Arabidopsis thaliana: one gene and its partners. The protein of the gene in region 3 purifies or fractionates together with the protein of the main gene of each other region. This does not show direct contact. Each region holds a gene or a part of one and is shown on either strand. Other genes may lie near its edges. The genes, in order: AT4G36080, PAD2, NRPB5 and AT1G61700.

Region 1 (4,687 bases), on a different chromosome or scaffold from region 3:
GTCCCTATAAACAGATGATGAGTAAAGTAAGTTAATGATTAGAGCAGCCAACCGATTCTAATATGAGCTCTCAGGTGTAAAGTTATACCAACAATATTCGCGCTTCATCCATTGACTGCTGATCAATGCCTTTCTCAAATATCGGTTCTACCTGAACCCAATATAAGTATTAAGTTATACTAAAATCTTGATTCAAACATAATGGAGAGATTATGTCACATAAATGTTAAGTAATATATCGAATTTAAATAAGGCAAACTAGATGAAAAAAATAGGTTTACCAGATTTAACATCAGACGCGCACAAGTTGTATGGATGTTAAGAGAGAGGGTCGAGTCATGCATGTTCCTTGAAAATAAGTAGATGATCCGCGATAACTGCCACGTTGTTTACAGTCAAATAAGATGAATTGTAAAAGAAAAATCACCCATAGAGTAGACAATGGAATGGGAAAAGATCTAAAAGAGAGAAGCCTGATTGATGTTGGCAAGAAAGATTGACCAATATGTTGTTCCTAAGATTAGTTGTTTATTGGCATCTCGATCTGTCAGAATTTTTTGGGAGGCCCTAGGTTTCAAGTCTATAAGCAAGGAACATATTTCCCAAGTGTGAGCACTTTCTGATCACAATTGATAAGACTGTTAAGATGAGGATCTATTTTAATACACAACCACATATACATAGCAAGAACTGTGTGTACTGGAACACATTAGTCTCACCTACTATAGAATCCAATGTTTTGCAAAGTTTCCAGAACTTAACTCTCTCAACTAAGAAGAGCTAATCTAGGAAGAGAGGACTAACAAATAAAAACAAAAACAAAGATAAGGTAAAGTAAGAAATAAATTGCACAGACACAACGGGAAGCACCTGAGAAAGGGACAAATCTGCTCGAACATGGTGAACAATCTCGGCCAGTAGGCTGTAAGCCAGAGGTCTCAAAGACTCAAAGCATGCTCGCCCCGTTCCAACTAGAACCCTGACACAGAAAAAAATAGCAAATAGATGACATAAGTCATTATTTGTTAATATATTATACTGCGGCACAGTGAAATTATACAGAACAGTAGAAGGTCTACTTGATAAAACAAAACAGCTTCCTGACAGGTGTACAAGTTTAAGAATTCAGAAAGGCAAAAAAGGCACATTATACCTCTCTTCCAAAAGAGTGTCAATAAGAGGAAATAAACCTCTCTTGAAATCCGTCCCAAGTACATGCTTTAGTGAGACTAATAGTTCCTGCATTTCATAGACCAAAAAAATATTCTTTACTTGCAAGCCCATGACTGTATTACAAGGTGAAAACATAAAGAAGAAAAAGGAACAGACAGTTCTCCACCTTTCTGATAGATGCAGAATCCGAACAGGTGACAAGCAAATTTACAATGCTCTTACAAATGCTTTCTTCATGCGGCTTGATATATTCGGCACAACTTTTTAACAAATAAGTCAAAAAGGAAACGGTCTGCAAACAAACACTACAAGTCAATATCCCTTAAAAAACAAAATAATTCAGGTGAAACAACAAGGCAGTGTAGGCCTTAATTAAATATTTTTCTCACTGCCCAAATAAGTTATGGTTTCCTTCTGGATAGAGAGCCATTGTCTCACCTTAACCTGAGCACCCTTCAGTTCGATGAACTGAGGCTTCATATGTGAAGAAACTTTCTCAGGTCCAGGAATAGATATAGCAGCAACCATCAGGGGTAACAAATTAGGAATATTAATCTGAACAAGTCTGCTATACAGCTGAAAAAGAAACATAACGACGAGGGGGCTCTCTGTGACTATTTTGAATGAACGAGTACTTGGGTTGATCTGCCCATTCCTGGAAGGTGCAGTAATGGACAGCGACTGATCAGATGGTGTAGGTATCTCCACAGGTTTCACTTCTTCCATTTTGACATTCTCGAAAAAATGGCTAACCGTCAATCTGAAGTTCTGGTATATTTTGCAGACAAAATCCAAGAATGGTTGAACCTCATTTTCTAATGTTGGCCTAAAGTTCCTAAGAAGATCAAAGATGATGCGAATGCATATTAACCCATTTTCTTCATTATCTGTCGTGAGCACCTGCATTGCAACTTTCAAGAGGTCTTGCACAAAAGGACGAAGAACCTCGCTATGTGGTAGACGATTGAGGATCTCAACCACAATGTTGCGTAGTTTGTGCTCAATATTATCAGTAAATTGAGGCTTTGTAATCTGAAGAAGAATCACTGAAGATGCCCGGAAGTAACATTTCAGAAAATTCAAGTACTCAGCCGTATGTGTGATCTCTAGACTGTCCCTGACCTCCACCACCATCGCAAGCCTCTCCTCAATAGCTATAGAACACAAAAACAAGCTTCGAGTAAGTGTCGCTACATTTTTAAATTAACTTGAACTGACTCAAAATCAAACAAAAATTCCTCAGACAAAATCAAAGCTTGAAGAAATTTTCAAATCCAAAATCAAAGAAACTAATTCTGAGCAACAAACAAACAACCCAACGACGAAATGAAGAGAAAGAGCAGAGAATGAGTGGTATTACGTAGGTCAGGCTCCACGAGACGACGAGAGTGTTGCTCAAAATTCTGAATTGGACTCATGGCTATAAAAAAAGCTGACCCAGACAAGCGAAAACGCTGTCTTAGGGTTCCGTCACATAGTAGGAATAGTAAACGTTGCTTCCTCCTCCTCCTTTCTAAAACCCAAACCGCGACGATCCCTAACGCTAAGCCCAAGGTGCTCCACTAGGTCAGACACTAACAAGGGTTTATCAAATTAAGCTAATTTAATAAGAGTCGGTTATCTGGTATAACACCAATAGCCTCGAGGTTAACGATGGAAGATGATGAATTTTCCCTCTCGATTTTTTTTTTTGGTGTGGGTCTCTCTGCGAGACTCCCCTGAAAAGAGAAAGCGAGGAGAACCTTTGAGAACTCGAGCGTAGCAGTGCAACGAAACGAAATTCAGCAGCCGAGTTATATATAAAGGTCCCAACTTTTTTTATATAAAAAGTCCCCATTGTTCCCTCAAATTTCAGAAATGCGAAGAAAACAAAATCTTATGGTTAAGGAAATGTAATTAACACTGATAATATAGTTGTGTTCGTTTTTTATAATCATCGAACAAGTTTTACACGGAGAATGAAAGTTTACAGAAAAAAAGAGAGAAATCTTTCACGCCATTTTTTTTTTCTTTCAGAAGAAACCAATTGGATGATATTTTCGTCTATTCAACCATATAGTTGAAATTATCGTAAAAAATTCGGTCAAAACGAAAAGAATTATTAGAAGCAATTTCTATAATTTGTTCTGTGGTAAAATCAAATATTATGTTCGTGTTACAAATTCTCAGACGTTGTCGGAGCTAGTAACCTTGGGTCTATAGGACCTATTAGGAGTATGTCGTGAAGTTTCTCTTCGTTGGCCCGATGATGACCGCTCTCGACTCTCAGAATGATAATCTCTCGACCTACGATACTTGCTTCCTCCTCCATGTGCAGTTCGATTGTTGTGATTACTACCATTTTGATCAATGCTGGATCTTGAAGAGCTAATGACTGCATCAGCAGGAGTACTCGGCGTGGTGTGTTCGTATGGCAACGGCTTAATCTCCTCCAAATCAGGTTCCGGGGTGAATCCGACTGGTCTTTTCGACTCGTCCATTTTCCTAAACGTGATCGATATCCTGAAAGCAGAACCGACGATAGCAAAAACAGTATGAACAAAACAAAACGAGATAACACCGATAAATTGCAAAACACCAAATCCTTTTGTAAAAAGAGAGAGTAATGGTTTCATTACCAAACATATAAATAAACGTTGACAAACAATCAAGGTGCTAACAAATTACCTCTTTGTGGGAACGGCAGGTACACAATGCTTAGCGACATCAGCTCCATTACCCTTGAGCACTAGAACTGATCTGAAGCAAAAAAAGTGAAAAACTCGTCAAAAAGTTAAGCAACAGAAGCTTCAGTAGAATAAACTCAGAGAGGGTACGCAAACTTTAGTGATTTACCCGACAGGAAGCGGTATAGAGTAAGAACCGGAGAATTCACCAGGTCCTAAGACTTTGAGATTTGAACCAAAGAGTATATTGCATTCACTGAGGAATGATACTGTGCAGAAAGGGCGGAGGAAGTCATGGTTATCGATGTGAGGAGGTATGCAATCGTCTTCCTCATAGATATTGACGATACAACTATCCGGTACACAAGTTGGAGGAAGTACATGCCACCCAACCAACCTTTTGATTATTACTTTGAAAATAGATGGCATTGGATCAACATCTCCACGTTGAAGGATTCCGGGTGGGTTTCCCGCTTTGTCCTATCCAAAAAACAAAAAACTCTTTCCATATTCACTATAGTTGATAAAATGTTTTCATTTTTAAAGATGAGGAAAGAGTCACTTACCGGTGCATAGTTATAACAACATCCGAATTGAATAGTAACTCGTCCTTTGCCTCTCATCCACTTATGCGGAGCGGTAAAAGTACGCTCTAGATATCGAAAAAGAACCAAAAATTCAAGATTAGATAAGTACCGTTTAGAGTTTTCAAATTCACATTATGCAAAAAGCAATGAAAGAAAACCAGAAGCAAACCTCGCAATTCTCCTCTACGGCCTTTCTCTTGTAGTTCATAGACAAAATCAACAATCTTTTTCTGCTCCACCGCGCTAAAAACACCGGTATGC
Region 2 (3,808 bases), on a different chromosome or scaffold from region 3:
ACGGATACCAGCTGACTGTATTATAGTTTATTTGTTTGAAAATAATATTATCGATTGATCTGTATTGTGATTATGCAGATGGCACGTGATTCGGAAGCCAAAACTCTGGCAAGTGGAGCAATCCTCAATACAAACAAAGGTCAGGGTCTTTCCCTTTTTTTTTCAGGAATAGAAACTAATTATACATGTCCAATACATATCAAACCTGTATATGCTTACAAATTTGATGTGTGAATGCAGAAGAATCTGAGAGAGCAGAGGAACATAAGCTATGAGGGGTCAAGAGTGGCAGATATATCAGTGATGGCCACAGAGTATAGCCCCGTGCTGAAATGGCTTAGCTACAGGGCATCTCCAGATGCGTTTCCGGGAATGGGCGAAGAGACAGATGAGGAGGACAGTGATATTTCTGAAGATGATGAAATACAAGACTGGTGACATTCACCATCTTAAGTGTCTTATATGTTAGGTCAGATAGAACTGGTATGATAGTTAACAACTTAACATCAAGGGAAGGAACACTAATTGTTCTGCTTACTTATAAATAGAAAATGGAGAGTCACTTCTCTATCTAACAATGAGCAACAGCAAATTTATCCTTGGTTTGATCAAGATCAAGCGAATTTTAAACCCTTTCTTCAGTTTTTTTTTGGAGCATTTTCAAGTTAACAAAACGATGGGGTCAGGTTCTTCTTTTGCCAAAGAGTTGGCTCGAGTCAAAACAAGATTGAGAAACAGAAGCAGCGAAGAAGGTAAGTTCAGATTGAGAAACAGAAACAGTTATTGTTTTATCAAGTTTCCTTTGGAGGGCCTTTCTTGGCTGCTTCTGCGGCCGCCTTTTCAGCTTCGATCTTGGCCACGATTGCATCAATTTCAGCTTCTTCTAGCTGGCGCAGCCCAGTTTCCTCCCGTGTCATTACGGCAACCTCAATGTTCTTTCCGCCACTCTCAACTACCTGCAATGCAAAGCCGATATCAAAACAGCTATGATCTCAAAGGACAAAAAATCCTGAAATAACAAAATATCAGCTAGGACGGAGAGGGCACCAACCTCAAGCAGAGCACGGATAGCGAGTTTAATAGTTTCTTGGCCAGAGGATTCTTTGTAGTTCTTCTCGAGGAATTCCCTAATAGAGTTGGAGTTTCTGCCGGTAGCATTAGCTTTCCAAGCAGAGAAAGTCCCAGAAGGATCAGTCTGATATAGGGAAGGGAGGCGAGAGTAAGGGTCAAAGCCAACGATAAGAGTAGAAAGACCGAAGGGTCTGACACCACCACTTTGGGTATACTTCTGTTGAAGGCCAGCAATGTAGCGAGTGATGTACTCAACAGTGACAGGGTCCTCAAGTGTAAGCCTGTGGCTTTGACACTCGATCCTTGCTTTGTTAATCAAGACTCGGGCATCAGCCTTGAGCCCCGCGCATGCCAAGGCAATGTGATTGTCAAGGCTCACAATTTTTCTGGCTGATCTGTCAGAAACAAGCACAGGACATCAGCTTCATCTAACAAACTAGATAGAGAAACACAAATACCTCTCCAAAATATATTGGTTAGGCAGCAGTATAAGAGAATTGAACAATTAAGTAGATTTCTTTTCAGGGAAGGGCCAAAGCCATCATACATGTTAGAAAAGAGTAACAACTGAGACAATCGCAATTAGGAACAAGGTTCAATTTTAAACAAGGGTTTCAGCTGCAGATTCCATTAAATAGGGAACAAGACCAAAATAAAGCAGTCGTATCAACATTGTTCAGTCAACTAGCAACTGAGAGTAAACCAAGCAGGATCCAATAAGTAGAGAGGGCAAGTCTGTTAATTGGTGCCATGATAAAAGTGAAGAGATGGAAATAAAACCTAGAATCCTGAAGCTTGGGGGTGGACTTCTTCTCGACGGCGAGGACAACGGTGTCGGTACCGCGGACACCGACGGCGGCGTTACCCTTGCGGACGGCTTCAAGGGCGTATTCGACTTGAAAGAGGTGACCGTCGGGGGAGAAGACAGTAATTGCTCGATCGTATCTAGCCATCTCTCTCTCCGCTTTTTATTTTCGTTTTCGTTTTCAGGGCAAATTATAAAAAGACGAATCCCAACTTCTGCGACAAGCCAAGAACAGAAAAAAAAAAAAAAAAAAGAAGAAGGAAATACTCTACTCAGATCTTCAAGTTTTTGAGAAGAGAGACAAATCGCGCACTCATCATTTCCTTTAAATGGGCCTTATATACCCAAAACTTCCATAACAGGCCCATTAACACAGTATAATGGTCGATTAAAAAATACATGAACCTTCCTCCCGCGCTTTCTAACTAACCAAACCGTTGATGAATGAATGATTTAAAACATTGTACAAACATATTGGCGCAATCATCCCACAAACAACTTTCTTCTTCGTTGTTTCTGATAAAACTGAACCACAAATGTACGAATCTCCATGGGACCAAGCTCTACTACTAAAGTCGACTTGTCAACGGGTCCGCCTCTTAGCGGGGAAGAAGGTTGTTCCGCTTCACCCTCCACTTTCCACTTCATCTTCTCCTTCATCTTTACTTTCTCTTGATTTGCTGACAAACTCATTTCCGTCACTTCTTTGATCTGCAAAAATAGTATGGATTCATTCACCACCTAGCTAGCTAGTATGTTAGAGTATCTCTCCACATGTAGATGAGCAAGTGTGTTTCTTACCATTTTGCCGGAAAACAACTTCTTCAACTCAACTTTAGCGATTTTAGAGTAATCACTGTCTTCTCCCGCCTGTAAACAACGCTCAACACTCAATTACTGTCAGGTATATCCCAATTCAAGAACATCTAACTGTACGTACCTCGTAGAGATGAGCCAGGCGAAGAAGGACGTTCCCGAGATCCAACTCCTCAAGAGTGATGAGAGCAATGTTTTGAGGCAAGGTGTAGAGATGATCCATGGCATAACCTTTCACAGTATTTGAGGCTTTCCATTTCTCCTTGTTCTCGTGTGCGAATGCCATTAGAAGAGGTGAGTATATTTCCTGTCCAGTCTCTCGTCTCCACCGCCCTCCTTCTCCTACCTTATTTATGCTTACATAGTAATTCCCACGAATCTGCATTTACACAAGTATGTATCAAGTTTTGTCCTGGACAAAACACACACAATTTCTCAATTAATCATTCATACCGTCAATCCTGCGCAGGTGTCATTCACACACACAGTTTCTACAAGGCTCTCCTCCACTCCTCTCGAGTCATCCATGGACGTTCTCCTGTTCCCATGGATGTTTCATCAGTGTCAACTACACAATAATGTTTCATGTTTTAAAAATACAGACTAATGACACTAATGAAATTTGGAACCTGTGAAGCATCAACTCTATTTCACCGTCCTTAATACTTGCACCCCCAGTAGCCCGATCAACCAACACCGACAACTCTGCTTTCTCGTCTTTTATGTACATTCCAAGATTAAGCTGAAAAGATACACTAACAATGCGTTAGAACTGTAAAGCCATTCACAATCGATATAGTCCAAATTTTTCTTGGTTTTGCAATTTCTGCTGGACATCAAATAGTTTACCGGATAGTAGTTTCCTGCTATTGGCTCATTCACTTCGAGATGCCAGTCTGTTCGGTTGTCCCGGACCTGCAATAGAGTTTAATCTATTTGTTGAAACCGGGCAATACGATCTCATTGGTGTTTAAAATACGAGAACACAGAAAAATCTTAGGGTACCCGTTTCAGAAAGTCTCTTCCATTAGAGTCAGTATAGAACTCCTTAGCTGTAGTCATATCTGTTACCATTCGCGTGATAATCTCTTTTCCTGTTAGATGTCCCTTACCAAC
Region 3 (4,080 bases):
TATGTTTCACAACTAATTAGCCTTCATTTCGCAAAACTTGATGCACTGCATAGCAAGAGCATGCAACTAGCTGCTGAACGAAAAGGCTTGGCTCTGCATAGCTAGCATAATAATACCAAGCTCCTTGGGTGTGATCCCCTTTGCAGTGAATCCAGATTTAGTTTCATCCAGTCTTATAGGCCCAAGAACGGGTTCTTGTACACATACTTGGTGATTCTGAGGGTTACAAAGCTGAGATCCCATAAACGTTGAAAGGCGTTCAGGTGGTGGTATAAGAATCATTGAGATGAGTAAAACAGTCAACACCACCCACAAGGGCATGCAAATCAATGGTAGCCATCTCAACACCATCCCCCAGCTTCTCCATTTGGAGACATTTTGAAAAAAACTCAAGAACGGCGCCTGTACAACCGTCAACACTCATCCACAGCTGATCTGAAGTCAGTAATACTCTGGAAGAAGTATCAGTTTTGAACATTTTAAAAATTGATATTTACGATTTTTTTCTTTTTAGGGTGTTAAGGAATGGGGATTATCGACAAACAAGTGATGAATCAGATTATTAACAAAATATGGCATTTGTTGGGATGAACAAATACAAACAAGTCGGAATCGGATCTTGCAAGTTTTTGGATAGAAAACTAATACAAATAAGTTGTTTCAAGCTTTAATTTCTCCTATCGGACAAACAAAAATAAAACACAGTCATCAGTTTGGTTTAGTACAAAAGCATTACTCTTATGTTTCACAACTCTCAGCGTTCAATTCGCATTACAATCCACAAAAGCCTTTTGCTTTGGCTTATACAACATAACGATAGGTAACATAACGACCAGCCGTTTCACTCGGACGAATGATCTTCACGACTTGCCCACGTTTTAGTCCAAAGTATCTTGCGATTGGATCAGTCACTTGGATCCTTGGAAGCTAACAACACCCACAAAGTTCCAAACATTTAATAACACAACAAAAATTTCATCACCAAGAATTCAAACAAAGTTTCTATATACTACTAACCTGTGTCTCCTTCACTGTGTATCTCTCCAGTAAAGTTTTCTTCTCTTCAGTGGTAAGAACTTGATGCTCAGGAACAAGAACATGTTCTTTAATGTTCACTAGCATTTCCGCCTCCTGCAGCATCCACCACCAAATCATGGTTTAGTAGGATTGTGATGTGGATACATCATCATCAAGAGTCAAGACACAAAGTGATTTGTTTTACCTGGAAAACTTCCAGATGAAACTTAGAAGAGATCTCACTAATGCAAGTTCGAGCAAACGGGGTCAAGTTCTGTTGCACAACCAAAATAGCTCTGAACACATTCTCTGATTTCATCCTGTTCGTGTACATTTTCATCGTCTTCACACCAACTTTCGCCTCATCAGGGAAGAATATATAGAGCTACAACAAGAGCACATGAATCAGCGACTAAATCAAACACACATAAACAATCTTTCTACCATATCCACAGCTTCTTAGAGATTAAAGAGATGACATTTATCTATACTTTTGTCAAAATCTAGCTCTCTGTAACATTCCATGTCTACTTACTATTCACATTCAACAACTAGATAAATAATGATAGTCTCCAGCTAAAGAACACTAAAGAGAAGCTGATAATCACATTGAAGGAGAGACATACAACTACAAACCTGATCACTATTATCATTTCGCTTAGCCTTAAGAGTAACAAGATCCTCTCTTTTCATGTTATCACCATGTTTCCTAATAAACTGTTGTTTAGTCATCGTAAGTTCAGAATCCGCGATAAAATATCCACGATCCCTTAACATCTGCATCAACGTCTTCTGGATTCTGTACAATCTTTTGAGCTCCTCTTCCGTCAACATCTTCTTCACCAAGTTATCTGCAGCTTTACCAAAACCATATCAAAATTAGGGTTTTTCAAAAATTGACAGAAACAATTAAGAGTTTATCAATCTCTTTGAGAATATATACACAGATACGAAAACTTACGAATAGAGACAAATCCACAGAGATGATTGAAGAAGCGATTTACAGAGAGAACGACAGTGGAAGAAGAAGAAGAAGAAGCGGCGTTTCAAGCTTTCTCCTTTTACCTCGAACCCTTTTCTCAATTCTATTATATTGAAGCTTTTATTGCATTTGAAACTCCCAATTTATACCGACTTTATGTTTTAACCCTCAACTTTATTTTCGATATTTAAACTCCAATCCTTAATAGCCTGATAAAGGCCCAATGGGCTTGTACGACCCAACATACTTAAACCCTTTAGTTGATTTTTCTCAACTTATTACACTGTTCTTGTTGGAACTAAAACCCTTTGCCTTCTTTCTTCATCTCTCTAAATCCCTAATTCTCCAAATTTTGGGGTTTTACATTTTCCTTATCAAGAGAACACCTGAATCTGAAAATGATCACTACAGTGCTACGACGATCTCTCCTTGATGCGTCGAAGAGGAATCTCTCCGCTTCGTTGACCTCAATCAATACTGTTCTGTTTCACAACCTGGCCCCAGCCGCCACTAGAGTCTCCGACCTAGCCTTAATTGGATCTTCCGATGTCAAAGCTGGGTTTCCGTTTGGTGTTGAAGCGAAAGGAATTCATTTTCAATCTGGGCCGTTGGATTTTAGAGCTTCGATGGTTTCTCAAGCTGGATTTGCGATCTCTGAGAGTAGCGAGAGAAGGGTTGGTGATTCGGAGAGTGTTGGTGGTGATGGGCTTGCGATATCTGAGCTTGGGATATCTCCGGAGATTGTTAAAGCTTTGAGTAGTAAGGGTATTGAGAAACTCTTTCCTATTCAGGTATGTAATGTTGTGAGATCAAAATTTTAAATTGTTCAGCTTTTCGTGTTCCCATGTTTTTGGAAGAAGGGTAAGTGGGTTTTAAGTTTTGTGGTTTTGAGTAGAAAGCTGTGCTGGAGCCAGCGATGGAGGGTCGAGATATGATTGGTCGTGCTAGGACTGGAACGGGAAAGACACTTGCTTTTGGGATTCCTATCATTGACAAAATCATCAAATACAACGCTAAACATGGGTTTGTGTTTACTGAGTCATTTGAGGTTCAGAGAATTATGTTTTCTGGTTGGTTTACTGATTTTTGGGGTTTTATGTGGTTTTTGATGTGATAGACGAGGGAGGAATCCGCTTTGTTTGGTTTTGGCACCGACAAGAGAGCTTGCTCGCCAGGTTGAGAAGGAGTTTAGGGAGTCTGCTCCGAGCTTGGATACTATTTGTCTTTATGGAGGTACACCGATTGGACAGCAAATGAGGCAGCTTGACTATGGTGTTGATGTGGCGGTTGGAACTCCAGGTCGTGTCATTGATCTGATGAAGAGAGGAGCTTTGAATCTATCGGAAGTTCAGTTTGTGGTTCTGGATGAAGCTGATCAGATGCTTCAAGTTGGATTTGCTGAGGATGTTGAAATAATATTGGAAAAGTTGCCTGAGAAACGTCAGAGTATGATGTTTTCTGCAACAATGCCGAGTTGGATCAGATCTCTCACTAAGAAGTACCTGAATAATCCTTTGACAGTTGATCTTGTGAGTAGTCTTGTACCCTCTGAAATTTCTCACAATTCTGAATAATTGATCTTGGAGTTAGCAGAGTTGTTAATGAAGTGATTTCTTATGTGAAATGTGCTTCTATGTTTTTGTTTGCCTAACTGTGATGTGTTATTCAGGTTGGAGATTCTGATCAGAAACTAGCAGATGGAATTACGACATATTCTATCATAGCAGATTCTTATGGAAGAGCATCCATTATTGGTCCTCTTGTAACGGTATGCTTTCCTTACTTTGCTATTAAACGAGTATGAGTTAAATTTTGTGTTATTCAGTAACTGAGTAAGTTATTTGTGTATTTTTTCGGAGTTGTCAGTTGTATATGGAAAGAGTTAATAATATCAATTTTCCTTGCAGGAGCATGCCAAAGGAGGAAAATGCATTGTTTTTACACAAACAAAACGAGATGCTGATCGCCTTTCATATGCATTGGCTAGAAGCTTCAAATGTGAAGCTTTACACGGTGATATATCCCAGAGTCAGAGGGAAAGAACGCTTGCTGGTTTCCGAGATGGGCATTTCAATATTCTT
Region 4 (3,468 bases), on a different chromosome or scaffold from region 3:
CTTGTCAATACCCCCAGTCTTCTGAGGATTAGCACTTCGCGGAATTTCACGGAGAAGAGACGAAAATTCGCCCTCCAAACTTATAGTTGCTGGTTTCTTATCTTCATCGTCAGACCACCCAAGCTCCCTCAGGTCAGCTGCCAAATCATCATTTCCTTTACCCCCTTGACGTAGAGGCTTTTGTGATTTGCTAGATTCTTTGGTAGCAGCCTTGTTCTGCGTCTCAGCAACATTTCGCATAGACAGTTCCCTTTTCCGGTTCCTTCTTAAAGATATCTCTAATGCGTCGGCCTCTCTCTCAAGTTCCCTCCCTCTCTTAAATGCTTTTAGAGCTTCATCAGATTTCCCTTCTCCTTTAAGAATTCTGTACTTATTCTTCGCTTCTACTGCTTGTTTACGCAATTCTTCAGGACTAGCATCCAACTCCATACCTTTATTACTACTGCTACTTGCCATTTCTTTAGAAGCATTCCTGTCTGTGCTAGACACAGATTCAGATGAAGAAGATACATCAACATCAGAGCCTAGAATCTCACTGAGAACATCATCCTCATTCTTTACAGTCCTTTTCGAGCTACCTCCTGAACAAATTCACAATCTCTTTACATCAAAAACTAGCAGATAACACAAAAGTGTCATAAATAAGATCACTATAGGTACATAAATACCTTTAGCAGCTCTATTTTTGTAACCATGACGCAACTCAAACCGTGCAGCTTCTTCAATTTTCTTACATGGTTCACATATACGCACAGGTGAGTCACCTTGTCCACGTAGTGACAACCTTTGCTGAGTGCAGGTTCCACAGAACAATCCCCCACATCTCCGGCAATGATGCTGCTCGCTCAAAAAAACAAAGCCAACAGAAACTAAGAAAAATTAAGCAAATTCAAAGGTTTTTGGGAGACATAGAAGAATCCAGCAAGTCACAAGTCTAGTAATACACAAACCACAAAACATCCAGATTCACCAAATTTACTCAAAAATATGGAATCTATCAAATAGGCACATCACCAGAAACCGATCATTCAGTGAAGTTTTCCGATAAACAGATTCTGAATTAGATCTCGAAGAAGAATCGACTAAGACGAAACTAAATTTCGATCGAAGAAACTAAGAATCTAAAGATCGCGATAGCAATAAGCAAGTACCAATTGATAGAGAGAGTAAGGAAATTAAGAGAGAGGAAGACCTTGCGATTGATGAAAGTGAATTGAGAAGAACATCCTTGACAATGAGAAGCATCAACGACCCAACTATTTCCTCTTAGAGATGGCTTCGGCGGTAATCCGATCTTCTCCAACATTTTCCCGTCTGATTCTTCTTCTCCTCCGCCGCGAAACGAACTTGGTTTTGATTTTGATCTTACCGGAAATGTAAAAGATCGAGCAGATGAAGAAGAAGAAGAAGAAGAATACTTTTCCTCCTCTATTGTCAGATATAAAATAAATAATTTTAACTAATACGGTATCGTTTTAGCTAAAACACATAATAGGACTCAATATATAAAGCAATAATAATTAGACATGAAACTAATTTTTGCTTTGAGACGAGAACGAAGTTAGAAAGAGACAAGCCCTAAAGATCGCTTTGAGACGATAAACTCTTAAAGTTTCGATTCGTTCACGATGATCGTCCCTGTTCGTTGTTTTACTTGTGGAAAGGTTTGTTTTTTCTTCTCTCTTTTTGTACGATTTCGATTTGTTATATATATATGTGTGTGACAAATCTCTAGGGTTTGTAGTATTGAGATTTATGAAGCTTTTGTTTATGATTTTTTGTAGGTGATTGGGAACAAATGGGACACATACCTTGAACTTCTCCAGGCTGATTACGCTGAAGGGTAAGCGATATATAGTTTATGATTAGAAAAAGAATCATAATTTGTGAGAAATTTTTTTGGTGAACATGAGAGTGATTGAATCTTGGAATTTTGAACGTTTTCTGACATTTTCTTAGTTGAAATGAGAGTCATGTAAAAGATGAAACAATAGTGGAACATGACAATAGAATGATTTGATGGTTTTGTGTAGTCAAAGAGATTGCATGATCTTGTCTTGTATGATCATCTTGAAAGTTTATACATGTTTTAGCCTTGTTACTAAAAGCATGAAGTTAGATCATTGGGATTTTTCGATTTTCTTGTTTTAATCGCTAGTGTAATCTTTAGCCCGTTTGGTTCTAGGTGTTAAGCTACATGATTTGGAATTGCGCAATTTCGTTTTTGTTTTAGTTGCAATTTGATCATCTTGAAGTTCATAGATGTTATCTTAAGTGTTAGTAAAGAGCATGATGGTAGGTGATCACTGATATATTCCATTCTCTTGTTTCTATCTAATCTTTTAGCTACTTTGGTTTTAGGCATTATGCTAAAATTGCATTTTGTTGAACTGAAAATCTGAATTTTGGTTTTGGAATACGCAGGGATGCTCTTGACGCGCTTGGATTAGTCCGTTACTGCTGCAGGCGTATGCTTATGACTCATGTCGATCTAATCGAAAAGCTTCTAAACTACAACAGTAATATCTCCATACCCGGTTCTTTTGCCTTGTGTTGCCTCTGCTCTATTCTTTTTGTTAACTTGCTTATTCGAATACTTCTCTTTTGCAGCTATGGAGAAATCCGACCCCAATTAAAAAAAGATGCTATAATGAATAACAAATCATCAAGAGCTGAAGTGAAGGAGTGATGCATCTCATCCATGTGGGCGTCTTAATAAAACCACAATGTTTCAGAAATTTTGGTTTAATTTATAACTAGGAATGTTGATATTTCAATGTTTTCTGATGTTCTTGTTCGGTTTTAGAAATCTAGACAATTTTTCGAGCCAAAAATAAAGCTCAAGCCTGTAGAGTCATCATCTATTGATTTGTTTTTGGTAATCTAATCCTGATAAATAGTAAAGATCACACATTTGATAAGGTTCAAATCTACAATCTAGATCACGAGTAGGAAGCAGCTCTTTTTGTACGATATCAAATTGGTAATGAGAACAGAGCACATAAAAACAATTTGAATGGAGCTCCCATTTTATAACCGGAGAATATCAAAGTTTTTTAGTTACAAGTGGTTGTATTAATTCAAGGAAACCATTTAACAAAAGAAATATAAATATTTATATTAAATATACACTATAATTAGTTGAATATATATTTATTTTGGATCAAATGTTTATTAAGATATATTTTTATTATAAAAATTTATTCTGAAATATGTTTATTGAACAATATACTGAACTTAACAAACCAAGGAGACTTTTTTTATTTTATTTTTTTTCAAACACAAACCAAGGAGACAAATATGAAGAAAACAAATTACATTTGAATAGAGAGGTAGAGCTATATAACTCACTGAATGCTTGGAAATATTGTCTATTAGTCTATTACAGATTAAGATTTTCTAAAAGAATTTGAGCCCGCTGAACCCAGAATTTGAGAGTTTGGCTTAGACTCAAATTCGAGTTTTTAC

What was found.
Region 1: the proteins of NRPB5 (region 3) and AT4G36080 fractionate together in Arabidopsis thaliana (co-fractionation; one large-scale study listed by BioGRID). This does not show direct contact.
Region 2: the proteins of NRPB5 (region 3) and PAD2 fractionate together in Arabidopsis thaliana (co-fractionation; one large-scale study listed by BioGRID). This does not show direct contact.
Region 4: the proteins of NRPB5 (region 3) and AT1G61700 fractionate together in Arabidopsis thaliana (co-fractionation; one large-scale study listed by BioGRID). This does not show direct contact.

What each region holds. Positions count from the first base shown.
Region 1 is NC_003075.7:17,075,038-17,079,724, forward strand, and holds the start of AT4G36080 (phosphotransferases/inositol or phosphatidylinositol kinase), read right to left. Parts: upstream 3,003-4,687; 5' UTR 2,592-3,002; coding exon 2,534-2,591; intron 2,328-2,533; coding exon 1,612-2,327; intron 1,466-1,611; coding exon 1,340-1,465; intron 1,240-1,339; coding exon 1,154-1,239; intron 980-1,153; coding exon 871-979; intron 378-870; coding exon 282-377; intron 152-281; coding exon 89-151; intron 5-88; coding exon 1-4. Other genes in the region: AT4G36090 (oxidoreductase, 2OG-Fe(II) oxygenase family protein), read right to left, coding at 3,339-3,675, 3,841-3,912, 4,009-4,319, 4,406-4,491, 4,596-4,687.
Region 2 is NC_003076.8:26,436,654-26,440,461, forward strand, and holds PAD2 (proteasome alpha subunit D2), read right to left. Parts: upstream 2,119-3,808; 5' UTR 2,025-2,118; coding exon 1,852-2,024; intron 1,467-1,851; coding exon 1,052-1,466; intron 957-1,051; coding exon 792-956; 3' UTR 517-791; downstream 1-516. Other genes in the region: ATRAD17 (RADIATION SENSITIVE 17), read left to right, coding at 79-139, 241-438; AT5G66150 (Glycosyl hydrolase family 38 protein), read right to left, coding at 2,360-2,587, 2,678-2,746, 2,817-3,071, 3,146-3,230, 3,322-3,434, 3,542-3,607, 3,698-3,808. UniProt on the Arabidopsis thaliana protein: The proteasome is a multicatalytic proteinase complex which is characterized by its ability to cleave peptides with Arg, Phe, Tyr, Leu, and Glu adjacent to the leaving group at neutral or slightly basic pH.
Region 3 is NC_003074.8:7,890,244-7,894,323, forward strand, and holds NRPB5 (Eukaryotic rpb5 RNA polymerase subunit family protein), read right to left. Parts: upstream 2,107-4,080; 5' UTR 1,979-2,106; intron 1,869-1,978; 5' UTR 1,852-1,868; coding exon 1,654-1,851; intron 1,403-1,653; coding exon 1,223-1,402; intron 1,132-1,222; coding exon 1,018-1,131; intron 928-1,017; coding exon 802-927; 3' UTR 560-801; downstream 1-559. Other genes in the region: PMH2 (putative mitochondrial RNA helicase 2), read left to right, coding at 2,398-2,790, 2,895-3,022, 3,117-3,528, 3,669-3,767, 3,907-4,080.
Region 4 is NC_003070.9:22,785,477-22,788,944, forward strand, and holds AT1G61700 (RNA polymerases N / 8 kDa subunit), read left to right. Parts: upstream 1-1,535; 5' UTR 1,536-1,628; coding exon 1,629-1,664; intron 1,665-1,784; coding exon 1,785-1,843; intron 1,844-2,424; coding exon 2,425-2,519; intron 2,520-2,610; coding exon 2,611-2,636; 3' UTR 2,637-2,904; downstream 2,905-3,468. Other genes in the region: AT1G61690 (phosphoinositide binding protein), read right to left, coding at 1-581, 669-837, 1,193-1,306; AT1G61710 (Cysteine/Histidine-rich C1 domain family protein), read right to left, coding at 3,383-3,468.